Tamandua tetradactyla: one gene and its partners. The protein of the gene in region 3 interacts with the protein of the main gene of each other region in a pairwise test. Links are inferred from orthologs where the notes say so. Each region holds a gene or a part of one and is shown on either strand. Other genes may lie near its edges. The genes, in order: NR4A1, SCAND1, PGBD1 and ZNF446.

The links.
Region 1: the proteins of PGBD1 (region 3) and NR4A1 interact in binary tests that used the Homo sapiens proteins (3 or more experiments, as listed by UniProt). The two-hybrid records come from large-scale screens. The link is inferred for Tamandua tetradactyla from reciprocal best matches to the Homo sapiens genes PGBD1 and NR4A1.
Region 2: the proteins of PGBD1 (region 3) and SCAND1 interact in binary tests that used the Homo sapiens proteins (3 or more experiments, as listed by UniProt). The two-hybrid records come from large-scale screens. The link is inferred for Tamandua tetradactyla from reciprocal best matches to the Homo sapiens genes PGBD1 and SCAND1.
Region 4: the proteins of PGBD1 (region 3) and ZNF446 interact in binary tests that used the Homo sapiens proteins (3 or more experiments, as listed by UniProt). The two-hybrid records come from large-scale screens. The link is inferred for Tamandua tetradactyla from reciprocal best matches to the Homo sapiens genes PGBD1 and ZNF446.

What each region holds. Positions count from the first base shown.
Region 1 is NC_135333.1:113,415,497-113,423,049, forward strand, and holds the start of NR4A1 (nuclear receptor subfamily 4immunitygroup A member 1), read left to right. Parts: upstream 1-4,540; 5' UTR 4,541-5,458; intron 5,459-7,076; exon of another isoform or gene 7,077-7,428; 5' UTR 7,429-7,530; intron 7,531-7,553. UniProt on the Homo sapiens protein: Orphan nuclear receptor. Binds the NGFI-B response element (NBRE) 5'-AAAGGTCA-3'. Binds 9-cis-retinoic acid outside of its ligand-binding (NR LBD) domain.
Region 2 is NC_135327.1:16,517,494-16,523,487, forward strand, and holds SCAND1 (SCAN domain-containing protein 1), read left to right. Parts: upstream 1-4,814; 5' UTR 4,815-4,863; coding exon 4,864-5,361; 3' UTR 5,362-5,475; downstream 5,476-5,994. Other genes in the region: CNBD2 (cyclic nucleotide-binding domain-containing protein 2), read right to left, coding at 4,228-4,779. UniProt on the Homo sapiens protein: May regulate transcriptional activity.
Region 3 is NC_135331.1:194,888,204-194,895,514, forward strand, and holds the start of PGBD1 (piggyBac transposable element-derived protein 1), read right to left. Parts: upstream 3,009-7,311; 5' UTR 2,941-3,008; coding exon of another isoform or gene 2,926-2,940; intron 2,231-2,925; coding exon of another isoform or gene 2,113-2,230; intron 102-2,112; coding exon of another isoform or gene 1-101. Other genes in the region: ZSCAN26 (zinc finger and SCAN domain-containing protein 26), read right to left, coding at 1-101, 2,113-2,230, 2,926-2,940.
Region 4 is NC_135342.1:176,435-183,625, forward strand, and holds the start of ZNF446 (zinc finger protein 446), read right to left. Parts: upstream 3,009-7,191; 5' UTR 2,929-3,008; intron 1,903-2,928; 5' UTR 1,863-1,902; coding exon 1,521-1,862; intron 1,444-1,520; coding exon 1,251-1,443; intron 1,040-1,250; coding exon 945-1,039; intron 164-944; coding exon 79-163; intron 1-78. Other genes in the region: uncharacterized protein LOC143658493, read right to left, coding at 6,898-7,191. UniProt on the Homo sapiens protein: May be involved in transcriptional regulation.

The DNA of each region.
Region 1 (7,553 bases), on a different chromosome or scaffold from region 3:
AAGTGCTCCAGTCAGGTGGGAGAGAGAAACCTTCCAAGCACCTCCACCCTGAGAAAGGTTCTTATTGGAAGTGACTGTGCCTGGAGACTATGGTCAGTGGAGGTGGGCTTCCCAGCCCTTTTGTCAGGGTACTCTGTGCATTTCCTGCACTGAACACTCCTGTGCTTTGTGGGAAGTCAGATGCCAAGGGGACAGCAAGGAGGGAGTAGCTAACCCTGAGTACTTACCATGTAAAAAGCATCTATCTCTGCAGTTGTTCAATCCTCCCAGTAACCAGAAAAGGTGGATAATATTATCATCCCCATTTCATGGGTAAGGAGACTGAGTGAGGCTCAGAGAAGTTAAGGGACTTGCTCTACTTACAGACAGTAGGAGAAGCCAGATCAGTGACTTCACCTCCTAGGCCTTGCCCTTACTAGCGTTCCCACATCTGGGACTACTTCTGTTAAGGGGAAATTTCGCCTTCCCAGGAAGTCCCCTTTTTCTTTAGCTACCTTCTTGCCTGGGAGCTGGGTGCCCTGCTAGCTGGGTTCTTTGCTCTTGGGGTGACAGGCAGGCTAAGAGACATTGGTGGGTGTGCCCAGGGCTCAGAGGTTGAGGTTCTATCCTCTCAAGCCAGTCAATTTGCTGTGTGACTTTGGGCCGCCGCGGAGCTTCTCTGGGACTCATTTTTTCCACTTCTTCCTCAGGGGACGCCCCAGGTAAGTTTATTTGGGTAACTTTATTTATACCCCGGCTCGGCTCGGGGTTCAGCTGCCTCGGGAGATGTTAGCAAGGCCTCAGAACCCTCACTTGAAAAACAGCCTCCCCTACCCCGCCCCCCGGCCGCAGCGAGCCGGGTTATGTAACAGCGTGTGCAATGTGTGTGTGTTGGGGTGGGGGGTGCCGCGGGGCGGGGCGCTCGCGGCTATTCCGGGCGCCTCTATTTTTAGCCCCATTGATGAGGCTGCGTCGGCCGCCGCCGCCGGGATTCCGGAGACGTCAATGGGCGCGCGTCACGGTCCCCGCCCGCCCGCCCGCCGGGGGGAAGGCGCGCCGAGGCTGGGACTGCGGCGCGGGCGGCCGCCGGCTGCGGGGGCGGGGAGCGCGGCGGCGGCCGGAACTGCTGGGCGGGGGGCTTCCCGGGGGCGGGGGGCGCCGAGAGGCTGCGGCGCGGTTGTAGGAGCGCCAAGCGGCGGCAGCGGAACTGGTGGGGGCCCCAGCGTGGTGCGCGCGACCCCCGGCCTCCCGGGATGGGCGCCCCTGCAGTGCAGAGCAGCTCCCGGCAAGCTGGTGCGCGACCCCGGAAAGCGGGGGTGGAGAGGCGAGCGGAGCTCGCCCTGCAAGGTGAGGGGGACAGCTTGGAAAGGGATAAAGTGGTAGCAGAGGGAGCATCGGGAGGTCTGTGCGGATGCGCCGGGGTGGGCTTGGGGCCACGCTGGGAGTCTTGCTTGGAAGCCGGGAACCGGGGCTGCACTGGGGGGCTGGATTCCCAGCGGAACTTGCTGGCTCCGAGTCAGTTCTCAAGTGCGACGGCCAAGGCTTTCTCTCCCTAGCCCGCCAAGGGTGGGGTTTGGCTCACGAGGGGCGCTGGAGATGGCCAGGCGGGAGAAATTCCTTCCATTTCCCCGTCGGCCGTGGAGAACGGGTTCCAGGAGGTCGGGAGCTCGGCTGCCAGGAGGCCGAGACGGGAGGGACCGGAATTGTCCCGGACAGCTCCTTCGTGGGACTGAGTCAGGACACCCAGGCTGAAGAGGGTCTTATGGAGTCAGGAGCGAATTTGGGATTCGGACTCGGGTCCGGCATCTCCCAGGGCAGCGCTTTTTTCTGCAGCAACCTCCCTCCCGACCTATACTTGGGGGTTCGAGCGGCGCTTCTAGGCAAAGGTTGCAGTGTGTTGAGGCAAAGGCACCGGTCCTTGACTTCAAATCCCCGTTACGCCTCCGTTTTTAATAGGTGGCTTGGTGGGCAGAGAGAAATGTTGCAGAAGAGGCACGTCCCGTTTACAGTGGAGTGTTAATCTGGGTTTGGGGGCTGGTATTATGGGCATGTTGGGAAAATGCAGACTGGGCAGAGGTGGGTAGATTCAGATCAGTTATAAGCTAAGGATGCTGATGGATTAGGAGACTGAAATCAACCTGAACAGGGTGGCCACAGGCTTGGTCCTAGACCCACTACAAGTGAATATTTAGATCAGTGACTTGGGGTAAGAGGTCTTAGGAAGCCAGCCAACTTTTGTATGACCCAGAGCTGAGAGGAATGACGAGTGTACAGTAGGATAAAATCAAGATTCTGAATTACCGCATGAAAATGGGCCAGAATTAACAAGATGAATGTGACTGATGCTAAATATTTGGGCCTGGGCAGGAGTTCAGAAAATCAGCTCAGGAGTGCAGGCCTGATGGGAGGCCTGGCTCAACTGTTCAGCACCGCAGGGCCCGAGTTCCTACCAGTTCCGTGGGTGGGCACTATCAAACTGAAGCCTCTACTGGGTACACTGGTGGTGGTGGTGGCCGGGCAGTACCTGGCCCTGGCATCCTCTGTCGGGCTCCCTGGGTTCTAATCCCAGCTTTGCCAGTTCCTAGCTATGTGACGTCAGGCAAGTTGCTTAACATTTCTGTGCCTTAGTTTCCTCATCGATAAAATGTGTATAATGATAATCCATTCCTCAACATTGTGAGACTGAAATGAAAAAAATGCATGTAAAGTGCTTAGCATTGTTTCTAGCACATGGTATTTGACAATATCAGCTGCTGTTATAATTGTTCATAATAATAGTATTGTCATTTCTAGGTGGGGACATTGACCAATGCAGAGATCGTGTCCAGAAGTCCACCAGGGCTGCAGAAGGTCTACCCTGTTGTGAGTGGGAGTTGGAGTTTAGATAAGAAAAGACTCAAATAAGTTCTTGATAGGAAGAAAATGAAGGAGGTTCTGGCTGGGCCCATGCAGGGGGCAAAACTGGGATTTGGGGCTGGGGGCTTTGGAATTGGGGCTGTGACCCAGCAGAGGGAAGAACCCTCCGATCTGCCCCAAAGTGGAAAGGACAGCTTTGTGAGCTGTGCACAGGAGGTTTCTTAGTGGGAATGACTTCCCCACCACTTTGCAGATGGCTGGCCAACTGTCCTCCCAGCCTGGCTCCAGTACAGGTGTTTGTGGCTCCTGCCCCCATTTACACTGCTATTGACTGAGCACCTATCCATCCTGAGCTCTCCTTTAGAGACCAAAGACTCCGTGGTGATTGAGACAGACAGGTTCTTATTTACCTTCTAGTTCAGGAGACAGAGGATAAATAAGTGAACAAATAAACATTAGTCCTATGGGAAAAATAAAAATGATTAATAGGGTAGGAGGTAAGGCTTCTTAATATAGTGAAATGGGAATAGGAACCTGATGGAGCCAGTCATGCAGACATTGGAACAGTGGTTTTCTTGGCAGAGGGAAGAGCTTGTGCAAAGGTCCTGAGGTAGGAAAAAAAGCCCATGTGACTAGAGCACAGTGAGTGGAGAGGAGATAAGGTGATGAGGGGACTCTCATCCCATTTTGGGGGCATCGCTTTCTCCTCCTCCAGTTTTCAGTCTACCCTCTGTACAGTATTGATTATAACTGATCTTGGTTTATTCTATGCCTGTCCCCCCTAGGGTAGAGGTAATTTGATCTTCTTAGATTTCCTACTGTTCATGGCACCCTGCCTGGTTCACAGTAGGTTCTCAATAAATGCTTGTGGAATGACTGTTGGGAAGGAAATTTTGATCTGTGGCAGGAGATGGTATCAGGTGGTCGTGCTAAGAGGTTTTGAATCACTTTCTAGGCACTGTTCTCAGATACACATGATGGAGACCTGAGCTCTCAGGTTGGGTCTGGCTGTCCCCGACCTGCTCCCTTCTCCTCCAGCTGCAGGCAGGCAGGGAGGAAAGGGAAGGTTTGGGGAACCCCTAGGCCTGATTGGGATGGGGAAGAATGATATTGTCATTCTGGGAAGGAAGGGCAGCCCATGGGCTGGGGCAGGTCTGAAATGTGATTTCGATTTCAGTTTGGATTGGAAGCCCTCTAGATGTTCTAGACTGCCCTCTGCTCCCTCTTCTCTGGTGGCCTTTACTCCCTGCTCCCCACTGCATCCACAGGGACATGGAGGGTGAGGGGAAAAGTATGGGCACTGCGGGCCAGAGGAGTCCCCCTTAGCCTGTGGACCCTGGAGCAGAGGTAGGGAGGGGGTGGAAGCCCATTGCTTGCCCTCTGCCCTCTGGGTCCCTCAGCCTTGCTCCCTCTTCTTCCCATCGTGGAAACACCTACTTCCCTTGTCACAAACTTCATCTTGGCTTGAAAGGCAACTTGATAACAGTGAGGGCCAATCCTGGGCCTACCCTGCTCTCACTCTGGGCCCCATCTGGAAGAGGAGAGGGCTAAATGAGGTTGGGAAGAGGGGAAGGGAGGTAGGGCGCCTGTGGGGTTGGCTGGTGAGCAGAAGGTGGGGGTGGGACACACAGTTGGCATCAAGCGTGATGGAGAGGCCAGGTGTCCAGGAGTGGCTGGCAGTGGGAGCCTGGGTCTGGTGGTGTAGCTTTTGTGTGTCCTTATTTAATTTATACTAATCACGAAGCTAATATTTATATAGCACATATGTGTACTCAGTACTGTTCTCACTCTTTTACACATATTAACTCACTTTAGGACTGACGACAGTTCTCTGATTGTCATTTTGACACACGAGGAACCTAGACACAGCGTGGTTATATAACTTGTCCAAGGTTACAGGAGATGGAGCTGGGATTTCAACCCAGGCAGTCAGGGATCCAGCATCTGTGCTCTTAACCACTCTGCTCTCAGTTAGGCCTTCCCATTGGGGACTGGAGTCCATCACAGAGGTTAGAAGGCTGGGCTGCCAGGAGACAGGGGCATGGAGCTGTGCCCTTTGGAGGCCCTGAGGCTTTGGGGGCCAAGCTAAAGCCCCTGAAGGAGAGAGGGATGTGTCCTGTTCTGTCGTCACACTGTCACCATTTTCTCTGCCTACAGAAGGCCCTTTTGTGCATGCCACGGGGCTGGGAGCTAGATTGAGGCACCCTCACTCAGGAGTGGGGTAAGAGGCTGAGGGGCTGCGCACTGGCAAGGATCTATGGCTCTGAGGTACCCCAGGTGCCATCAGCAGCAGCTGGTCACACCTCATATCCCGGGAGCGCTTTTCCCAGAGTGTGGGCCCCCAGCCCCTGACAACTAGCCCAGGCGGGGACCTCGGGCTGGCTTGTCTGCCCCTGTGGCTGAGTCCTGCTGCTGTACCCGCTCCTGTGCTTCCTGGCTGGGCTGTCTCCAGGGAATGCGCCTGCTGGATGGGTGGTTTTTCCTTTCTGACATTGACTCTTCCGTAGGCCTCCACCATGCACAGGGGCTAGCCCCGGCTCCTCCCTGGTGTCCTGAATCTGCCTGCCAGGCCCCGAAGGGATGGTTTGAGTGTTGGCCAAGGCCTGTTGGTCCACTGAGGGTGGTAAGTGCTCTACTGTTGTCATTTGTACACCCTTGGGCCCCCTGTGCAGTTGGGTTTGGGGGGCAGGGGTGGGTGTGGAGCTGCCTGAGGTGGATGTGGTTTGGGGGGTGGAGGGGGAAGCCCTGCAGAGGTGGCAGGCACGGTGCTAAACAGCATCAGGAGATCTGATTTCTTCTGTGGTGGGAGTGCATGGGGGCGAGAAAAGGGGAAGCCTGATTTTCTCAGCAGGATAGGCTGGGAGGACTCTGGGGCCAGGTGCCACAGACGGGTGGTAGGGAGGAGCCTGACAGGTGCCCCCAGCATAGCACCTGCCTGGTTCCAAGAAGCTGATGGGATGGGGTTGAGGAACTTGGGTCTGGGCTGGGAGTGTAGTAGGGCAAAGCTGGCAGAGGTGGGGGTGGGGTGGGGGCATCTGGCCTGTTTCCATGTTGTAGACCTCATTCCAGAGGGAGTGCATGAAGGGAAGGCTGAGATTCCCCTCCCCAGAAAGATTGCCGACTGTCCCCCCTTCCCATCATGGCAGGACTATAGGGCCTGCAGAGTCCGTGGTATGAGGAAGTGGCCTCATGGATGGGGGGAATCTTGGTGGGATCATAGCTGCTAACAAAGGGCAGGCACAAACCCTCCACTATTCATCCGACATCCCTGAGAGGGAAAATCCCAGACTTGTGGCTATGGCTAGAGGAATCCTTGGCTCTCTTGCTCACCCCCTCCTCTTACAGATGAAGAAACTGAATTACAGAGGGGAGAAGGGACTTTTCAAGGTCCCACAGGGCATATGTATAGAGCGCAGCCTAGAATCCAGGTGTCCTGGGTCTCAGGGCCAGCCTGAAAGCCCGGTGTAATGGTGGAGGACACATCTTTATTGCTGAGGGTGCTTCCAGAGAAGGAGCAAGCTAGTCTGTCGGTGAGGGTGAGGGTGAGGGTGAGACAGTCCACCTGCTGTTTCCTTGGGGGATCTGAGATGCTGAGATGGGGCTAAAGGAACTGAGTCTTGACGGCCACCTGAGGGAGCTGGGAATTCAACCTGGCACAGGGACAGGGACTCTGGACAGGGTCCTTGTGGTCCCTTTCCTCCTTCCCCTGTACTGAAGAGCATCACTGAGCAACAGAGCCCTCAGGACTGAGAGCCCTCCAGATGAAGCAGGAGCTGGCTCAATATCTCCTCCCCCAACCCCTCCAAACACTGTTGCTTCGTGTGAACTTGGTGTTCAATGTGCAGAGGGAGGAAGACAGGGTGTCCGGTCTGAGCCTAGGTGGAAGCGGGGAGGCAGGGTCTCCTGTTCCAGGGGCTGGGCTGGGTGTGCACCTGGCCTCTGGCTGGCAGCAGGTTCTGCACCAGCCACCTCAGGCCAGGGCGGAGAGAGGAATTACGGTCAGTGGGAGAGGCAGGTGTCTCTGGTCAGCCAGAGATGTGGCCTTGGGGAGCACGTGAGGGAGGATGACAGCAGTGGCCAGGCACTTTCCCTCCGCTGGCCCCCACCTCTGCCCCCAGGCCTGACCTGGATTCCCAAGCTCCTGGCTTTCCCTCCGGCTACACAGAAGCACTGGGTGGGCAGAACTTCTTGTGTTTACCCTGTTGTCTGGGTGATGGTGGTGATTGGATGGAACTCCCGTGCTGGATACTCTGCCAAGGCCACCCCAAGGGGCTGCTCGCAGGGGCCCTGGGAGTGTTTGAGCCGCTGGTCTTGTGACGTGGGCACCTGTCTGCCAGGCCTGGGCATGGGCCCAGGGTCACGCTCACACCGGGGCTCCCGTCAGCTGACTATTTTGAGTTCTTGCTGACCTGGGCCAAAGTTAGGCCCTAGCCAAGAGGGCCCCGCGTTGGCTCCCCCCCATCCCCAGAGGCCGGCTCTGGTTTCTGCTATATAAACAGAAGAGGACATACTGGCTTGGAGAGAGCTCCACGTCCAGACACTTCTCAGCTGGTACAGGGCAGCTGGGGAGGGCAGTCACGTCTCTCTCCACAGGGCTCCCCGAGGCCACCAGGAAGGGCCCCCAACCGAAACCAGGATTCTCCTTTCCTGTGGTTGCCCAGGATCTCTGAAGGTCAAATTGTGAGGAGGAAGCTGGTGAGTCTTGGAATGGGGAAACT
Region 2 (5,994 bases), on a different chromosome or scaffold from region 3:
AGAATAACTGAACTGGTTTTTTGGATTCCCATCTTAAGGCCCCCTTCCATTCTAACTTTCCACGATTCTAACAGATCACTAGCATTCCATGATTCCAACAGAATAGATGGTAGAAATAGATTAGAGATCTAACATTCCATGATTCCAAATATCACAAGGGTTCATTCCCTTTCTGAGAGGATTAGAATTCAGTTTTTCAGCTTGGAATTCTAGGCTCTTCATGATTTGACCTCTACTGATTTTCTAATCTCATCTTTCACACCCTTCGCCAGACTCCAAACACTCCCAGTCTAGCCTGCAGTTTCCACAGTTCTATTCCCTCTCACTCTGTGCCTTTGTACAGACAATGACTTCTACCCGGATTGTTCTTCTTGAGTCTCAGCGCGAAAACCTCCTCTCCAGTGAGGCCTCCCCATACCCCTCACCCGGCAGCAGTGTGGCATGCTCCCTTAGCTCTGGATATTGTTGGCTGTTACGACCCAGCAAATAGGACTGTTGGTTTACTTAGTGCAGCGTACTGTCTAAGGGCCCACTGCCCGAGAACCAGGCAAGGTTTAAGCCAACAGGCATAACTGACACTAGGATCATGTGCTCCCACCTCTGAGAAGAAGAGAGAGAAATATCAGCTCTAAGAAAAACAATTACTATTGCATTTACTAATGCAAACAGCACTCTGTTTCAAGTAACAAGGGCAAGTTGTAGGGACTAAAGTCAACTGGAACCAAGTATCTTGTCTAAACGACTCTCTACTCAGCTTTATCTGATTGTTGGTCAAAAAGAATGTGAGTCCAGTGTGCTCAGCTCTTTCACTTTTTCAAGTAAAGCTGGAAATTCAGATTTGTATGTGAATCTTTTAAATTGTTAGTAACTAAGTTTTTAAAAAGTTAAAGACCATGTCTTGGAGTGGCTAGAGGGAAGCACCTGAAACTGTACAGCTGAGTTCCAGTAGTTCATGTTTCTTGAAGATGATTGTATTAATGATATAGCTTATATAGTGTGACTGTGTGATTGTGAAATCTTCTGTCTGATGGCTCTTTTATTTAGGATATAGACAGATGAGTAAAAAAAATATGGATAAAAATAAACGAATAATAGTGGTCAAAGGTTAAAATAAATAGATGGAAATACTGGTGGTCAGTGAGAGGGAGAGGTAAGGGGTATGGTATGCATGAGTTTTTTCTTTTTTCTTTCTTTTTTCTGGAGTGATCCAAATGTTCTAAAAAATGATCATGGTGATGAATACACAAGTACGTGATGATATTGTAAGCCATTGATTGTACCCCATGTATGAAATGGTTGTATGTTAAGAATGTTTGTATGTTTACATCTCAAGATTTATCAATAAAAAATATTTTTTTAAAAAAAAAGTAAAGACCCATTTCGATGACTTTCAAGATTTTGGGGCCATTCCATGAGGATCCACTTCTATCGGAAGTAGCACATCCAATGTGAGGGGCAAGTTTTATGTCAGGGCTACTGCGTGTTGATGGTTGTTCAACATGCCCACCCATCCTGCAGAGTTCAGAGGGACAGTGCAGGTCATACAGAACCTATCAATCAGGACCTCTGTCCCTTTCTTGCCCTCAGTTTCCCTATCTGTAAAATGGGGACGTAAAACTTATGTGAGTCAGCTGTCAAACAGAATTCAGTATCATTTACCAAAAGGCTGTCAAAATTATGTACTTTCAGAAACAAAAGGACAAATACTGTATAGTTTCACTGATATGAACTGACATTAGTAAATAAACTTGGAATATTTAGTTGGTAACAGAGACAATCAGGAGATACAAATAGGGTAAGATATTGGGTAATTGGAGCTGAAGGAATACAGATTGTGCAACAGGACTGAATATAAAAACTCAGAAATGGACAGCACAATACTACCTAACTGTAATACAATTATGTTAAAACACTGAATGAAGCTGAATGTGAGAATGATAGAGGGAGGAGGGCTGGGGGCACAAATGAAATCAGAAAGAAAGATAGATGATAAAGACAGATGGTGTAATCTAGGAATGCCTAGAGTATATAATGATTGTGACTAAATGCACAAATTTTAAAAATGTTTTTGCATGAGGAAGAACAAAGGAATATCATTACTCCAGGGTGCTGAAAATAGATGGTAACTGATATTTTAAAATTTCAACTTATGGGTGAGACTAAAGCAAAAAAAAAATGTTTATTTGGTACAAAATTTATATTTTGACTAGTGCATTTCCTAATATAACTTATGCAGATAGCTTAATTGAACACCGTAAGTACACGGAACCTTGTGTAGGACATGAGATTTTGTTGGTTTGTCCAGAGTGATGCCCCGATGAATCCCAGAGTGATCTGAGCAGTGAGTGGAAAAGTATTTGCAAAGTCTCCTTCGGGGAATGGTGAGAACGAGGAAAAATTCAACCTCCCCAAGTTGAATTCTTGATCTTCTCACAAGCAGTGTGGACAACCAAAGCTATAGGCTGAGCCCCAGTATTGGGGTTTGTTCATATGAAACTTAAGCCCACAAAGGATAGGTCTAGCTTACTTAAAATTAGGCCTAAGAGTCACCCTCAAGAGAACCTCTTTTGTTGCTCAGATGTGGCCTCTCTCTCCAGCCAACACAACAAACAAACTCACCATCCTCCCCCTGTCTATGTGGAACATGACTCCCAGGGGTGCGGACCTTCCTGGCAACGTGGGACAGAAATCTTAGAATGAGCTGAGACTCAGCATCAAGGGATTGAGAAAAACTTCTTGACCAAAAAGGGGGAAGAGTGAAATGAGACAAAGTGTCAATGGCTGAGAGATTCCAAACAGAGTCAAGAGGTTATCCTGGAGGTTATTCTTTTTTTTTTTTTTTTTTTTTTTTACATGGGCAGGCACCAGAAATCAAACCTGGGTCCTCCGGCATTGCAGGCAAGCATTCCTGCCTGCTGAGCCACCATGGACCACCCCTGGAGGTTATTCTTACACATTAAGTAGACATCACCTTGTTATTCAAGATGTAATGGAGAGGCTGGAGGGTACTGCCTGAAAATGTAGAGCTATGTTCCAGTAGCCACGTTTCTTGATGATGATTATATAATGATATAGCTTTCACAATGTGACTGTGTGATTGTGAAAACCTTGTGTCTGATGCTCCTTTTATCTACCTTGTCAACAGCTGAGTACAACATATGTAATAAAAATAAATAATAGGGGGAACAAATGTTAATTAAAATAAATTTAGTCTGAAACGTTAGTAATCAATGAAAGGGAGGAGTACGGGGTATGGTATGTATAATTTTTTTTTTTCTGTTTTTGTTTTATTTCTTTTTCTGTTGTCTTTTTATTTCTTTTTCTGAATTGATGCAAACGTTCTAAGAAATGATCATAATGATGAATATACAACTATGTGATGATATTGTGAATTGCTGATTATATATGTAGAATGGAATGATCATATGCTAAGAATGTGTTTTTTTCTTGTCATTTTTTTTAATTCTAAAAATTAAAAAAAAACTTAAAAAACAAAAATTATGTGCTTTTACCTGGATCATCTCATTGATGACTCAGTCACTTCTATGAGGAAAGTTGTGTTACATCCACATTTTACAGATAAGAAGTCTTAAGCACAGAGATAGCAAGCAATTTACCTAATGAAAACCACAAACATTTAAAACGTTCTTACTTTCCATTTAATCTCTCAACAACTCTGTTAAGTAGGTACTATTGTTGTCTGGGGATATAAGGCAAATAACGCAATGGGAATTCAACAGGGCAGCCTGACTCCAACACTAGCCCAGCGCTGTTCAACAGAAATAGAATGCAAGCCATATATGGAATTTCAAATTTTCTAGTTAGCCACATTGAAAAAATAAATGAACAGGTGAACTTAATTTTAATAAAATCGTTTATTTAATCCACTACATGCAAAGTATTATCATTCTGACAAGTAATCAATATAAAAAAATAGTTAAGGTCTTTTACCTTTTTCTTTTGGAATTAGGTTTTTGAAATACAGCATGCAGTTTACTTTACAGCACAACTCAGTTTGAACTGACTATATTTCGAGGGCTCAGTAAACACACGTAACCGCTGTATGGGGTAATGCGTTTACGGTCCACTTACTAGCCTGAAACTTACTGGTTTTGAGGACACGCAAAAATTGTGGTTCTTACATATATTATGTCATCCTTGCAATGGGGCAGGTGCTAGTGCCGTCCTCCTCTGAAGAATGGGGAACTTCCGAGTTAGAGGACTTACCTGAGCCGCCAGCGGGTAGGCGGCGGGGGCGGGACTCGAACTCCCTGTCCTAAGCCCCGACCGTCGGCCCGCCCCGCTCACCCACCGGCCACCAAGTGAGGAGGCGCGCCCGCCGGAGAAGGCGCTGGTCTTTCGCACGCCCAAGTGGTCGTAATCGCTAAAGATCCCGAAAGCGACGTCTACGTCGTCCCCTTCGGACTGTTCCTCCTCCTCTTCTATCTCCTCTTCCTCCACCTCTTCTTCCACCTCCTCCACCATTTCCTCGTCTTCCTCAGAGGAAACATCATTTTGCGGAGTACACAGCACGCTTCCACTGGCTCTGTCCACCGCGGTCGCAGCCGCCTCCGGCGTCGACCTGCGAACGCGAGGTGGCGCCCCATCCCGGAGCAGAGACGCGGCGCTCGAGAGGTCGAGCGCCGGCAGGACCATAGAGAAGCCGAAAGAAACTTCCGTTTCCGGTTGCCCCGCGCTTCGCCGGTACAGGTAGGTTCCCCGCGCTCCCGCGTCCGCCTCCCTCCAAAGTGGCGCGGACTGTGCCTTTACCCGAAACATCTCTCTCTCTCTACCCCGCCCCCGTACCGACGCAGTGCTGAACCCACAGTTGCCACACAAAGAGTGACGCCCAGGGCCGGAGTCATGGCGGCACCGTTGGAGAAGCAAGGAGCCAACCCGAGCTCGGTCACGGAACGTAACTTGGCGGCTTCTTCTCCGATTCCAGTGGCCTCACCGCCTGCCCCCGAGCCCTCCAGCCCCAACGCCGCACCCCCCGAAGCGATTCCTAGGCCTCCCGCGACGGCCTCCGCGGCCTCGCAATTGCCCATCGCGCCTCAGTCCCCAGGCCCGGTGCCGCCTGCCCAAGCCGCACCGCGTTCCCTGCCGAGGCCTGGCGGCGCCGGCTTCGGCCCGGAAACCTTCCGCCAGCGCTTCCGGCAGTTTCGCTATCATGATGCGGCCGGCCCACGGGAGGCATTCCGGCAGCTGCGGGAGCTTTCCCGCCAGTGGCTGCGGCCGGACATCCGCACCAAGGAGCAGATCGTGGAGATGCTGGTGCAGGAGCAGCTTCTCGCCATCCTCCCCGAGGCGGCGCGGGACCGGCGGCGGGGCCGCAGCAGCGATGTGCGCATCGCGGGTTGAGCCACCGGACTGCGGACGGCCGGACCTGGCGCTCCCTGGACTGGAATCATATCAAGGTCCGGGGGCCTGGCCCTGCCTTTCCACCCCGCGTTAATGAAAAACTGGCTTTGACAATTCTTGTGGTCTGGTGTGTCTTTTCGTTTGTCCTTTACAGGGTTTATTTTAGCGAGTTTATATCTCCACCTTTCTAACTAATAGTGAAACAAAGTTGGGAGCCCACGAGACGGCTTTGGTTTCCTACCCAGGGGGCCACCGTTGGCTTTTGTGGTGCCCTTACATGTTGGCTAGATTTCAGGGATTGTTTTTCCTGTGCTCCCTAGGGCCCCACAAGGTTGTGTAATGAGGATTAGGAACAGGCTCTTGAGTTACATTTGCCTTAATATATCTTACTAACTAGAATTCCACTTGAAAAGATAAATCATAGGGATAATAAATCCTGTTAAATAAACGATTATGAGATCCTGGAGGCAACGTGGTTTGAGTTATTAAATGATGACTGGCTACCAATTTGCTCCAGACCCTTTGCTCCAGACCCACGTGCTTCCCAGCGGCTATTGGGGTGTTTTAATGTGAAGCATTTTACTGCAAGCCCTTCTGGAGAAAGACTAATGTTTATGAGTTTTGGGTTTGTGC
Region 3 (7,311 bases):
ATGAGCTTCTATGGGCTCAGATAATTTCCCAGATGATTTCACTGATCCACAAAAGTCTGTCTCTACAACCAGCCTTCTATTCTCAGTCCTCATCTCCTTATCTGAAATATTAAGATATACCACCAATCACATGTTTTATTTAGGCTTAGGGAAAGGAATCTATAAACTAGGAGGGAAAGTTTAAAATCAAACATGTTTGAAAAGTGAAAAATATGTATGCTTGCATCTGTATAAACTATATAAGATACATAAGAAATTAACAGAGGTTGCCTTTTATTTTGTGATACATGCATGCACATACATAAGCTAGCAAACAAACAAACCATCTTAAAGGGTACAGATGTACATTTTTGAAAATGGTTTGTCACAAGGAGAGTAGAAAAGCTAGCTTAGTTAAGGACTGGAATTCATAAGAAAGGTATGGCAAAGGGATAACCCTTTAACTGAAAATGAAGAAATGTAGACTAATTTTATCACTGAGAATGAAGTTGCCTCATGAGGGTAAGAATGAGTTAAGGAGAGGGAATAAAAACAAAAAGGGAAGCGAACTCTGAAACTAAAAACTAACCTGAACTTTGGACATAAAATACAATATTCAATAAGATCCAAAAGATACAGAATATTTTCAAGAATATAGTGTCATCACATTAATTCTTCATATTTAAAATACATACCTATCATTACATGGCATAAATTCCTGCAAGATTATTCAGAAAAGTTAAGTCCATCTCTTTCAGCTACTTTACTCAGAAGGCTCACAGAAGGTAACCCTTGAAGCAGACGTGGAAATTAAATAGGGAAGTAGCTAGTAGGTAAAGGACAGTTTTATATATAATACCAGCCATTTACTGAATAGACATTTACTGAGTGTCTACTCTAGGCCAGGGACTGACTCAGGAAACAAAACAAAATCCCTGCTGGGAGAAAAGAGGAAGTAATGCCTGGGGAGGGGGGAAAGCAAACCAGCAACTATAATATAATATAATCAGTTCTACCACAGGAGAAATCTTGGGGCTCTAGGAACATAGGTGGAAAAACTAACTCAGCCTTGAGGATCTTAAGGAAAGACAGAGGAAACGATATCGAAGATAGGTCCTGAAGAATGACTATGTATTAGCCAGGAAGAGTGAGGAAAAAGTGTTCCAGACAAAAGAAACAAGGCAGCAATGACTCAGAAGAGATAGGAAGCACATGGGAAATGGAATGAACCTCAGCATGATGGGAACACAGTTTGAGCATGTGTGAACTGAGGGGTTTCCCAGGACGTTAACAGTCTTGACAAACTGGTCACCCTAGTGACACAAGGCTGGGTAGGGAGCCAATAGCGGCCCATGCTATGTGAGGCCTTGGTCAGTGGCAACGGGGAGTCTCTGAAGGTGGTGTTTTTTTCCCCTTACTTTTGTTTTTTACTTTCTAGTATAGAATTTTTCCAACATCCAAAAAAAGTAGAGAAAATAACATTACCCAGCACTGAAAGATTTTAAACATGGGAGCCACCTTACTGAATTTGTGTTTAAATTATGGTGGTTAAGTTTAACATCAATGGGAGTACTATGATGACACTAAAATAAAAAGAGAAGTGGGGCTCTATCAGAATAGAAGGAAGAAAAGAAAAATTTAAGGAATACAAATTGGATAGAGGAATTTTAGTGACAAAGAAAATATAGTAGAGAAAAAAAATCCTGATGACATTTAGAAATAAAAGACAGTAGCCACTTATAATAATTTTAAGGAGATAATAAGAAAATGAATAATATAGCCTGTGGCTGAGATTGTTTGCCTTCTGTGAGAAACTAACACTACTTTCTCTATCCTCTCTATTGCAAAAGGAAATACTATAGAAAAATTATCTCTATAGTAAAAGGAAGAAAAGCAAGCTACTTCCCTATCTGATTTCCAAATCTGCTCCAGTCATGATCATATGACTTATCATTTCACATTTGTGATAACTCACTGACCTGTACCCTTAAAAAGGGTGAAATTTCCTGTATGTAAACTATACCTCAATAAACCTGATTCCAAACACAGTATCAAGGGTGCTAAATCGGCCTCAAGTGGGGAACGCAATGGCCACCACATCTCACACAACAGAAGATGCTCTCCATTTCTCACCCTTCTCTTTTTCAGGCCTTTGAACTTCACACTTCGGCTGGACCTGCTGCTCCTGCATTGCTCTCACAGGGGCCATCTCCTCCACAGGTATTTTCTGTTTCTTTGTCTGGTCTGGGTCCTAGGGACAATTAGGTACAGGAGGGCTTAAGAGGGAACTGCTCTTTAGAAAAACACTTCAATGTTGGAAAAAAGAACAAAGACAAACCTAAAGGAGCAAAGAAAAGGAGATGAGGAATCTGGAAATTATTCAATTCAGCCTCCTCACAGCAGAGAACAGATAAGGTTGAGGTGAGACCCCCAGAAATGAACAGCCAAACTGGAAAGAAACTAAACAAACAAGTTTAGCAATTCTCCCACTGGTCAGAGGTCTCACTTCCTGCTTTTATGTGAAAGAACAAACCTGACCTTTACCACCTCTTGTCCTGCTTCTCTAAGCTCTGGCTCCAAACCTTTCAGTACAGTGCCTGCATCCTCCCCGTTCGCTGGGTGATGCTCTCACACCTGGGCCCACAGCTCCTCGGGCAGGATGCTTAGGGACGGCTCCAGCACCAGCAGCTCCAGGATCTGCTCCTTGCTGGGATCTCAGGCCACAGCCAGAAGGCGGAGCTCCTGGAGCCAGCTCAGCGCCTGTCGAGGTCCTGAGGTCTCTTCATAGTGGAACTGCCTGAATTGTTTGCACAACATCTCCTGACCAAGGTCTTTGCTTTTTCTTTGCAGCCTGAATTCCTGTTCCCAAGCAGAGCAGTGATCCTCCCTCACTACCCAAAGCCCCTCCTCCTTCAGATTCTGGGGAGCCAGGGGGCGAGCACTCACCTCTACTGTTGCCATCTCCAGCTTTAAACTGCTTTCTCCGTTTTAGAGAATTTTCTTTGGATTGTCTCCTCAGGGATAGTCCTAAACATGTAACAATAAGAGTTACAGAAACAGTAATAACAGTAGTAATAACAACAGCAATATTCCCTTCTTGGGTTGATGCATTTCCAAAAGCTACTATCCTTTTTAATCTCTTCTAAACAACCATTCCTAAAAAAAGGCACATACAAAAATGACAAAACTCTCTTATAGAAGATTGCCAGCTAATATAGAAGGAATAATAGATATACAAACTCATCATTTCATAGCCGTAAATCATCTAGTGAAGTACCACAAATGATTGTTAAAACCACTATGTGAATGGAGTAGGGGTCCAGGACATTCCTGCAGTATCAAAGTATCACCACATGGATTCTTACTAGTTACAAAAGGAAAAACTGGAATTATCTGGCAGTCACAAACTTAGCCAAATGATCAAACTTAGGAAATTACAAGTAGCAAGACAATCAGACATCATGTGCCTCATTACCTATGTAGCAATTTTTCTAAAAGGCTTGACATGAATTTAATAGTGAGGAAGCTTTTGAATTAATCCAGAATGTAGCCCTTTCTACAAGAGGCATGGACTGTTCAAAACCAACAATTCCACAAAAATAAAGAAAAGGTATGGAGAGGGTACAGGTCTAGAATTACAGAGAAAACTAAATGCAATCAATGTGTGAAATATATATATATATATATATATATATATTTTATAAATTAGGGAAATTTGAATATTATGATTTGGGGTAGGCAAACTATGGTCCAGCAAGTCAAAAACAGCTCAAATCTTGTTGAGCATAAGGTCTTACTGAAGCACAAGCTATACCCATTTGTTTATATACTATCTATGTCTGCTTTTGAACTGCAATGGCAAAGTTAAGTAGGTGCAGAAATTCTATGACATGCAAATACAAAAAAAATTTACTGTCTGGCCTTTTAAAGAAAAAGTTTGCCAACTTCTTTTTAGTCTTTTCTGAGGGATAACAGTTTTGTAGTAAATACGAGAATATTTTTATTCTCAGGAGAATGCATGCTAAAACTTATCTTCAAATGTTTCAGGAAAAAAGTATGAGTGGGTTGGTGTGGAGAGAGTGCACAAATATAGCAGGAAATTCACTACTACTGCTAAATGAGAAGGTAAATAGGTACTACTCGTAGTACGTCAACTTTTCTGTAAATTTGAAATTTCTCAAAAAGTTGGGGGGAAAGACACAAAGACACAAAATAAATACAGTTAATTCTCATTATTTGCAGTAGTTGTAGTCTATAAAGTTGTTGTGAACAGAGAATTAGTAAAAACTGAACCATTTCTCCTAAGGGAAATCCAGAGTTAGGTTCCTGTGAGCCTCTGGTCACCATATTCTCATCAACCAAATAACACATAGTCTTGTTTTATGCATACTTCTATTTAAAGACACCTTATTTGATATATATTGTTGATGCATTAACATTGAACTCATGGCCAACAGCACTGTAATTCATGCCCTAACAAAGCTCATATAACACATGTATTTTCTCTAAGGTACATCACAGCCTTCCTGTGCTTAGGGACATAAGACAGCTTTCATTCAGGGCCACTTTAAGCAAAAATTAAAAAAATACAAAAAAAATAGTACCAAATACACAACAAAAACGTTTTTAGTATGAGAACTGAACAAGGAAAGCATCACCTTGCTTGATCTTGGCTGGAACGTGTACAGGGTGACTCATATTTTCACTCTTTATGCATGTCCACAAGTGATTTCAAAAGCACTGTGAATATTGATTTGGGGATTACAAATATATTTTAGCAAGTTGGTGAATTCAAAAATATGGAATCTGCAAATAATAAGAACTGACTGTATACTATTGATATATGAGCTAAAGCTAAATCAATAGAATTAACTAAAAGAACACAAGGATTTGCATAACTCATCTCATTTACAATCTGTCTACTACCTACCAGAATCTCTTAGATGCTGGGGACACAGAGGTGAAAGACAATCCCCTAGCCTCAAACAGTTCTCTGCTTCTCAGGACACCTCAGGGAAACAAGCAATTGCAATTCAGTGCACTGAGTTTTACTGTGAAGGTATGCACAGGATGCTAGTAGGCACAGAGGTAAGATACCTAATTCCTCACAGCAGATCTGAAAAAGCTTGGAGGTGAATCCTTCTAAGTCTTAAAAGAAAAGTGAAAGGTGGTCAGGTATAAATATGGTGAAAAGGTTTTACAGAGAGAATGGTTTTGCATTAGTGTGGTACCTTTGTTACCACTGATGCAAATTATTATACTGTTAACTACAATCCATAGTTTACATCAGGGTTCACTCTTTCACAGAGATGTTTTGAGGTAAATGAGATAATAATTGTGAAGAATAGGAATTCATTGATTTATAAATGGATTTATAAGACGGCAATGATCAAGAGTGGGAAATGCTATAAGAAAGTAAATTAAACTGAGACCTGACTTATTATCCACTTGATTCAAAATCACAGAGGTCACTGATGACTTCTTTGAAAGCAATTTTAGTAGAGAAATGGAGAGAAAAGCCAGATTGACATGGGTAAATGAGAAAATGGAGAGTGAGCAAAAATTACTCTTTTCAAGAAGTAAGACACTGAACAAAAGGAGAGAGACAGGCCAGAAGTTAGGAGTGTTTGTGACTTCAATTACTGTCTTTATTCTGAGGATTTCCTTATTTTTCAGTCCAGATCTATCAAGAGTGCCTGATACATGTTTCCTTCTGGTTATTTGGTATCTAGACACCCTATAAAAGCCTCTCAAACACAGCATAACAAAAAAGAACTCAGAAAATGGCACCACCACCATCCCTTGGAGTAGGCCCTTGGATACTTGGGGATTTAGCATTCTTGATTATAACTACTCGAGTGAGTCTGAAGAAGAATGAAGTATTATCCACCCACTGCTGATACATGTCTTTGAATCGGTGTATACTTGGAGGAGGGAGGGACTCACCTGATTAGTGACTACGCCTGATCAGAGTCAAAATACATCCTATTATGTATTCACGAACCTGCACATAGTAAGACTCCTTAGCTGATAATTTTTTTTTGTCAAAAATGGACTTATAAAAAAACCAAAACCTTGAGGCAAAATGAGCCAGAAACAAAAGAGCAAATATTATATTATCTCATTTAGATTGTAAGCTCCTACAGCAGTCAAATTCAGTCCAGAGTGGTAATTGTTATTTCTGGATTTTAAGAGGCTATTTTATATATGTATATAAATATATATATGTTATATATGTTATATATATTTATATATATATAACCTGATATTTAGAGATAAGAATGAAGCTGATCAGATTGGGATTAAGGTAATTCAGAATACAGGGGTAAAGAAGACATTGTCTACATTTTAGAACCATACCTACTCTTTGACACCAAAGGAAAAAAGGTTTATTTTGTCTGGAACCTAAATTTTTCTGTAGTACATAATATAAGAACCTGTCTGGACAGCTCACTTGAACAACTGAAATACAGGGAACCCAGAATAAGAATGAGGGCCTTTAATCCTGTATAGTTTAATGTAATGCCTGTATACATCCTAAAATACAGTAAGCAGATAATCAAAATGTACTGACAAAGTCCCTTGAGGAAAGGGAGAAAAAATATGGAAATATTAAACTTTACCATTAGGAAATTATCTAATACTGTGACAAACATTAGGGACATCCAAATCAATAGGCCAAGCCCTTGATCTGGAGGCTTGCTCTTGTGAAGCTTACATGTATAGGGGGGAAGTTTAGCCTATCTACAGGCATGCCTAAGACTTACTTCCGGACAACCTCTTTTGTTGCTCAGATGTGGCTTCTCTGACTCTAAGTCTGCAAGGGAAATAATTGCCCTTCCCACTACGTGGGACATGAAACCCAGAGGAAAAGTCTCCCTGGCAGCATGGGAGAGACTCCCTGGGATGAGCCTGGCCCTGGTACCATGGGATCAACAATGCCATTCTGACCAACAGGGGGAAAGAAGTGTAATTAATAAGGTTATCAGACGGAGAAGATGGCAGCTTAGTAAGAGGCGCGGGTCTTAGTTCCTCCTCCAGAAAAGCAACTTAAGAAACAGAAACAATAGGAAACAGCTCCCGGAGCCACAACAGAGACCAAAAAGACAGCATACCCTATTCTGGAACGGCTGAATGGGCAGGGAGAATCCGCTGTGGTGAGATACCCGAGGGGCGCGCGTTTTCCCGGCCGGGGCGGCTGGCGACTGGGGTCCCCTCCACACACGTGGCTCCCCGGTCTGACTGGGAACGTTGGATAGCGGGGCCCTCCCGCCACGCTTGGCGTCTCGGGCCAGCTGGGCAATTTGGACCGGCACTCCCCCAAGCTGCGGC
Region 4 (7,191 bases), on a different chromosome or scaffold from region 3:
GAGGGGCCTGCAGACAGGCGGGGACTGCCGGGCCAGGATGAGGCGGTGAGGTGGGAGACACGGCCTGGGGGTCCTCACCCAGGGAAACCACCGTCCCGTACTTCTCCAGCATCGCGTCCCAGTACAGCTCCTTCTGCGAGGCATCCAACTGGCTCCACTCCTTCTGCGGAAGGCACCCTGCTCACAGCCAGCCCATCCCAACCTGGACACCGCGCTGGGCTCTCCGGGGGGCAAGAGGGCTAAGGCTGGAACCCAGACACGTGGTCCTACCTCCCCGCCTGGCTACACTCGCCCCATGTTCTACCGAAGACCCCTAGACCAGCCCTGGGGACCGCCAGCGCCCCAGGCAGCAGGGACAATGTGGCGAGCCCCACCCACCCCTCCTGCCACTCCAGCCTCAACAGTCACACACAGGGGCAAGTCAGAGGACATGCAGGACCCCCCCAGGCCCCAGCAACTCGCCACCTCCCTCCAAGCCTCTCTGCAGGTGGCAAGCGCTCCTGGGCCTGGGGGCTGCTATGGCTGTTTAGACTTAAAGAAGCCCCCAGGAAAGGGCCGGCTGTGAGAATGTCCCAGGAAGGGTGGCATCTCTGTGCTTGCCATGCAGAATTCCCAACCGGGTCAGTCACCTCACCCCCCTCGATGCCAGCACAGCGCCAGGCACCTGAGAGCCTCCCGCCTCAACCACTGGAGTTCCAGCTACTCTAACCAGTTTCTGTTGCCTGTGCTGAAATCCTTTGCCATGGAAGAGAGGCTGCTGGCCTGCCTCCCTGTCCCCAAGGGCCTGCTGACAGCGGTCCCTGCTGACAGTGACCCAACTCCCAGGCAGCGAAGAACCAAAAGCTGCTGGCCTGGGGTCCAGGAGAATTGGGAGGATGTGGAGCGGCCACCAGGGACATACTCCTCCTACCTGGGACCTCTGAACCTCCCCCAGGGCTACTCACCTGAATCCTGGGTGGGAGACAAGACCCAGAGGCTGGCTCTTCGCTTCCAACACATCCCTCAGAAGGCCGGACTGGAAGCGGGGGCCCTGGAGGTCCTAGGGAGCAAGTTGGGCAGAGGGGTAGGGACTGCCCATGACAGCGCAGGGGAGGGCAGGTGTTGATGCTACTACTCCAGCCTTCCCCAACGGCCAGGCAAAAGGCACTGCCTGTGCCAGCCACATGGTGGGCAGCAACCCTATGTCCCTCCCCAGGACCCCTACTCCGTTCCATCCAGGAGGCCCCAGCCCCTGCGCAGGGCTCCCTCACCCATGTCCTGCCGGTTGGCATCTGGCTCCTCCTTCACTCCGAGCTGGCTGGGCTTCTCCCCTGTGCCCTGTGTCCCCTCCCGGGGGGCTGCCTCAGCAGGCTTCACCATCCCTGAGGGGTGGGGGCTCCCCAGGGGTTCCTCTGTCTTCTGGGCTGCTGGGAGCACCTCCAGGCCCAGCACATGAGCTGTGATCTGTGGAAGAAGAACTGAGTCACAGGGCCCCTGACCTCGGTCTGTCCCTCCAAAAAACTAGCACTGGCCACACTCACCCAGCCCAGCAGCTGCCCTGGGTCATGCTGCAGCCCCTCTACCAGAGCCGTGGCCTCCTCGGGGCTGTCTGGGTGCTGCTCCCGCACCCAGGCCTGGATCTCGCGGGGCAGTGCGCCCAGGAACTGCTCCAGCACCAGCAGCTCCAGCATCTGCTCCTTGGAGTGCGCTTCGGGCCGCAGCCACTTGCGGCACAACTCGCGCAGCTGGGCCAGGGCCTCGCGGGGACCTGCCGCTGCCTGGTAGCGGAAGTGTCGGAACTGCAGGCGCGCGGCCTCGCGCTCCTCCAGGGTGGCCATGGGGTCCACTGGGGACAGGCGCAGGGGACCCAAGGGGGATGGCATTTCTGTGCTGCGGGTCTCTCTTGGAGTCACCAGGTGGGACCTGCAGAAGGGGAAGGGTCAGGATGCCAGGCAATGGGCTCCCGGCCAAGCCCAGAGATCTGAGACTAAGACAGAAAGAGGACCCTGGGGCCACAGGTAAGGCCTGGGAGGCTTCGTGGACGGGAGGGGGTCATGGGAATCAGAGAAAAAATAAAGCCTTGGGGCCGTATGTCCAGGATAAGGTGTCCAGGGAGCTTCCAGGAAATTGCACACGCTTCAGTACAACCATGGACTGTTGGGAAATAATGGCCCGCAGGTGAGCAAGGAGAGTCCCCACCGGCCTTGGAGATTGGGCTGAGGAGCCTCAGAAGGTGTTGGGCAGAACAGGGAGGAGAGTGAATATTTGGGCAAGAGAATGAGGGACAGGCAGATCCAGAGTGACTGGGCGCTGGAGGGGGCAGTAGGTGGCATGTGCGGGCCGGCAGGGCAGCGGTGGGAGTGGCGCCCGGAGATGCCAACCCAAACGGGGCATCCTGAGGGGCTGAATGTCCAGCCAGAATATGGAACACGGGCTGGAGAGTCAGGTGCCCCCAGGGAGACGACGGGACGCCGTTCTTGTAAACACGTGAACTGTGGGTGACTCGCAAGGCCTGTGCGTGTGAAAACGCAAAAGCAAAACAAATCAGAGCCACACGCTTGGCGTGGGGTTGGGTCAGCCCCAGCACCCGGACTTGCAGAGAGGGCTTGCGGGCGGGAACCACCCCCACCAAGTCTTTGCTCTGCTCTAAAAGGAGGGATGGGTGCAGTTTTTAAGCTGAGTTTTAAAAAACTCTCCCCTCGCCCAACTCCGGACGGGGGCGGAGAGATGAGCCAGAGGAGCCCCCAGCCCGGCCTTTCCGGGGGCTCTGCTCCCGAGGGCGCCCGAAGCACCGGGGAGGGGGTTGGTCGTCACGGAGAGGGGCCCAGGGCTGAGGAGGGACGGCCTGGAAAAGGGCGCGACGCGACCCAAGAGGGAGCTCCGGAGCGCGCGAGCCAAGAGTCCCGGGGGGAGTGGGCCGGCCGCGCCGCCCAGCCAGCCCGTGCTCACCTCAGCCGGGGGGCCGGCGCTCCACCGCCACTTCCCGGACCCGGGACTGCCCGACCACCCGTTCTACGCAAGCGCACCGCCCTTCCCGCCCGTTGCCATGGCGACAGCGCTCTGGCCAATCCCGCGCCTGCTCGAAGGCCCCGCCCCCTTCGAACTACATTTCCTATGAGCCTCAGGTAGAACGCAGAGGCCTGGCCTTGGCCGGTGGGCGCGAATTTCTAGAGCCCGCTCGTGCTTGAGAGGCGCGTGCACGCGGGGCCTGCAGGTCACAAAGTTTGGGAGTCCCATCCCTCTCCGGCGGCTCTCTCCCCGCGCCCCCGAGCCCCGGGCCTCACCAACACCGACCCGGACGCTGCTTTGGGACGCTGCGCACGTGCCAGACGGGCCCGGCGCCGATTGGCAAGCGCGTCTGACGCTTGCCCAATCAGAGCCGGCGCTCCTCCTGCCCCGCCCTAGCGTCTCCTTGGCAACCGCGGTTTCCGCGGAAACGAAAAGCGTCCCGTGCGTTCCCGACAGCCCGAGCTGGCTGCAGCGCAGCTTCGGGGGCATGTGGGTCGCGGGGCAGGTGGAGCGGGCTTGCGGAGACCGGCCTGGCCGCGGTGTTTCTCGGTCGCCCCGGGAGGTTCTCCGCCCCAGCGTAGGGCGAGGAGGCGCTGGGCTTCTTTATTCGCCCCCCCGCGGAGTGCCACATGGATGTGAGGGAACTCGGTTGGGCGCCCATGCACTGCTTCAGCGACTACCTTGGCCCTCACGTAGGCCACGACCTTTCAGGACATTAACAAATACATGACATTCCAAAATCATAGTGGAAACGGGACGGTGCAACGGTGGTTCACTGGTAGGATTCTCGCTTGCCATGCTGGAGACTCTGGTTTGATTCCTGGTGCCTGCCCATGCAAAGCAAACAAACAAACAAAAACCTAATAATAAGAAATAAGTAAGTAATAGAAAACAAAATAGTAAAAACAACATTGTTTCACTGACTTTGGAAAATGGGGAAAGGTTTAAAGTTAATCTTACCGCTCAATTTGCCCCTGTTAAGATTGGGATGCTTTACTTTTTGTTTTTGTTTCTCTATTTATACATTTTTAATAAACATTTAAAGTCTAACTTATTTTCGGTGAATACGACACTGTAGGAAACACAGGCTCTTTGCAATTAAGGGAAGACTTAGAGACAAATGCGTTTGGAAAAGAAAAGACACTTATTTGCCAAGATGAGCTTCTCTGACTCTAGGGAGATTGACTTCCAAAATGAGAACACATTAGTTATTTAAAAACTAAAATTAAACTAAACTAAACTTGCAGAATTACCAAGGTGATCAAGGTTGTATTGTCTGTAACGGCAGAAAAGGAGCACCCCGGTCATGTGATTATCCCTCACAGTCTCTGATGTCTCTGGACATCAGCCCTGCAAAGAGAAAGATGGAGATTTCCATTCAAACTTTTGGTGAGAGACTGATTTATTTCGGGGACTAAAACTAGTTTATCTCAGTGCATAATTAAAATCTGACTATGAGATGGGATCCTTTTTTCACCTGTATATCAAATGGCTGAACCATGGTTTATCTGTCCTATCCTACATTGCATTTGTCTGTTTTGGCTTCCTCTGATTCCTGGAACTCCCTGGCTGCTTGCTTTATGGTGAAAAGCAGTGATCTTAAACACGGATGGGAAGTGCTGAGTCCATGGGTGGGTGGGACTTGCTAACTCTGAGCCTCCCTGTGGAGTTATCAGGGTGAACTCTCCCGGGTGGGGGTGGGGGGAGGATCTCAACAGGAGTATCTTGAGATCTCTCCTCTTCACTATGCAGATTCCTCAGAAATGCATCTTCCACGTCCACCAGGTGGGGAGAGAGCCGGAGATGGAACTGCTTCTCAAGTAGCTCTCCCTGTCTTCTTTGTTGGTAGTCCCTCTCCTATTCCTGAGGTGCTGGAGCTGCTGGTTCACAAGCCTTCTGGAATTTTGCCTGGTGGGACCTCCCTGTACTCCCCTTAACGCCAACTCAGTACTTGGCTTTTTCTAAATCAGTGACAGTTCCCCCACCTGCTTCCAGCTGCAAAATGATATTGCCATTGACTCCATCATCTTCAAACTTATGGGCTTGTGTTTTAAGCACTCCCTTTTCTGTGGTTTTAGAGGTGTTTCTGAGCTGAGTGAGAGGCATGTGTTCAGCCCACCATCATGACCCAGAAAGCCCAGGGACACTTTCCCAGTAAAGGCCTGTTCAGGGTAAAGGAGGGCCCACCCTGGCAGGTCAGGGCCCAACCTGACAAGAGTAGGTGTGTATGGGGGGGACAACTGAGGACCCAAGACATGAAGGTGAAGCACAAGTGGGATAGAAAGAGCAGGCGGGTGCTCATGGGTGCTATTGGGAGTTGAGGCAGTGGACACAGACTTAACCTGGGTAAGCCAAGGGGCAGCAAAGGCAGAAGTGCAGAGACAGGAAGGAGCTCTACATTCGGGGGTTGGTGGCTGGTAGGGAGAGAGGAAAGGGCAGCTGAGCCCAGCCCAGATGTCGACAGAGGGTAAGGAGGACTGAGGACAAAGGCCTGGCTTCAGGAGCTTCCATCCAAGGCACAGAAAAGTTCCCATATGACTCACTCTAGGACCTGCTCTCTGATCTATAAGGTGCCTCTGCCCCCAGAAGGGGTGGGGGCTCCTCTAGATTTCACAGCTGTGCAGATGGAGGCTGGTGGGACCAGCCCAGTGAGGGAGGCCAGACCGGGGTGGGAGGTGGGCAAGACTGAGGTTTAGACAGGGCGTGGGAGACAGGATGGTGGGCCAGGGACTCCCGGAGCCTTGGGGAGTCAGGTGCCTCCCACTGCTGGGCCCACTTTCCTTGAAGGGCTGCGATTCACGGGGCAGGTGGGTCTGGCCTGGCTGGCAGGTAGGGGTCAGGCTGAGTGCTCCTTGTGGACAGGGATGGTTCTGCAGTCTTGGGGCTGATGAGTCATGAGTACCACTGAGCTGGGGTCAGCCTTATGCAGTCCTCACAGGTACACTCCACTCCATCAGCACCAAGCAATGTGCAGCTCTGCCTCGGTTCTCTGCCCACCACTCTCTCCCTTGCCCTGGGGCTGAATCATGGTTCATTCCCAGGAGAGGGGCGGCGATAGGGCCACCACCCCACGGCCCATATGGCCACTGAAGGAACACAGGCTTCCTAGCCCCTCCGTAGGCAGCAGACCAGGCCCCGGGGCCTCTCTAGCCCGAAGCCGAACCCCTGAACCTTTGTGACAATGACACATATCAGTGGCAGGCCTGCAAATGTTGGTTTAATGTCTGCATTGTGCTAGTGAAACTGGTGTCAGGCCGTTATCGTCCACACAGAGCTATAAAGAAACCTTTATTAAGGGAGCATCTTTAGACTCTGGACCATACCTTGGAGCTGGATTTCTGCAAAGCCATCAACACTGCCCACCAAAAAATCACAGCTTATATCCATTCCAAGCTGTGAACCCTAGTCTTGCCCCTCCCCTCTCGATCTTAGCACTCACTGCCTGAGATTACGGCCCCCCCAGCTAGGACACAGCAGCTGCAGACCACAGGAAGCAAACTGGGCTACCACCACCTGGCTCAGTGCCCAGGCTCACCGGGGGAAGGGTGTCGGGAGCGTGTCTCTGGAGGCGGTCCCCCACTGGGGCAAGTCCTCCCAGTTTCTGTCTGCTCTCCAGCACCTCCCCTGCATCAACGCCAGCGCCTCCGATCAGGGCGTGAGAGTGCCAAGGCTGATCCTGAGTCTGACCTGGAACAGCAGAGTGGGAGAGATGTGGCCGCTGCTGAGGCCCCAGGAGTCCTTCTTCTGGACTGTTTGTCCAGTGCAGAGAACCACAAGCACAGGCCCTGGCCCCACCTTCCACTAATGTGGTCAGCGCCAGGGCCGGGGGTCCCAGGCTAGCATGCAGGACGGACGGGGCCTCCACGCTGCAAGTGGTGCCCCGCAGAGGACGGGCTCGGTCCGGAGGGGTCAGGCCTCGGGGGGCTTCGGGCCCGGGGCCAAGCCTGCGGCGGAGCTCTGCTCCGCACCCCTTGCCTGCGCAGCCTCAGTGGCGGGGGCCGGAGTCTTGGGCGGCGCCCTGGCCCGGGACCGACGCGCGGGCTTCTCGCCGGTGTGGGTCCGCTGGTGATGGAAGAGGCCCGGGCGCTCCCGGAAGGCGCGGCCACACTGCGTGCACACGAAGGGCTTCTCGCCGGTGTGGATGCGCCGATGGCTGAGCAGCACGGCGCCCTTGGCGAAGGCCTTGCCGCAGTCGGCGCAGCG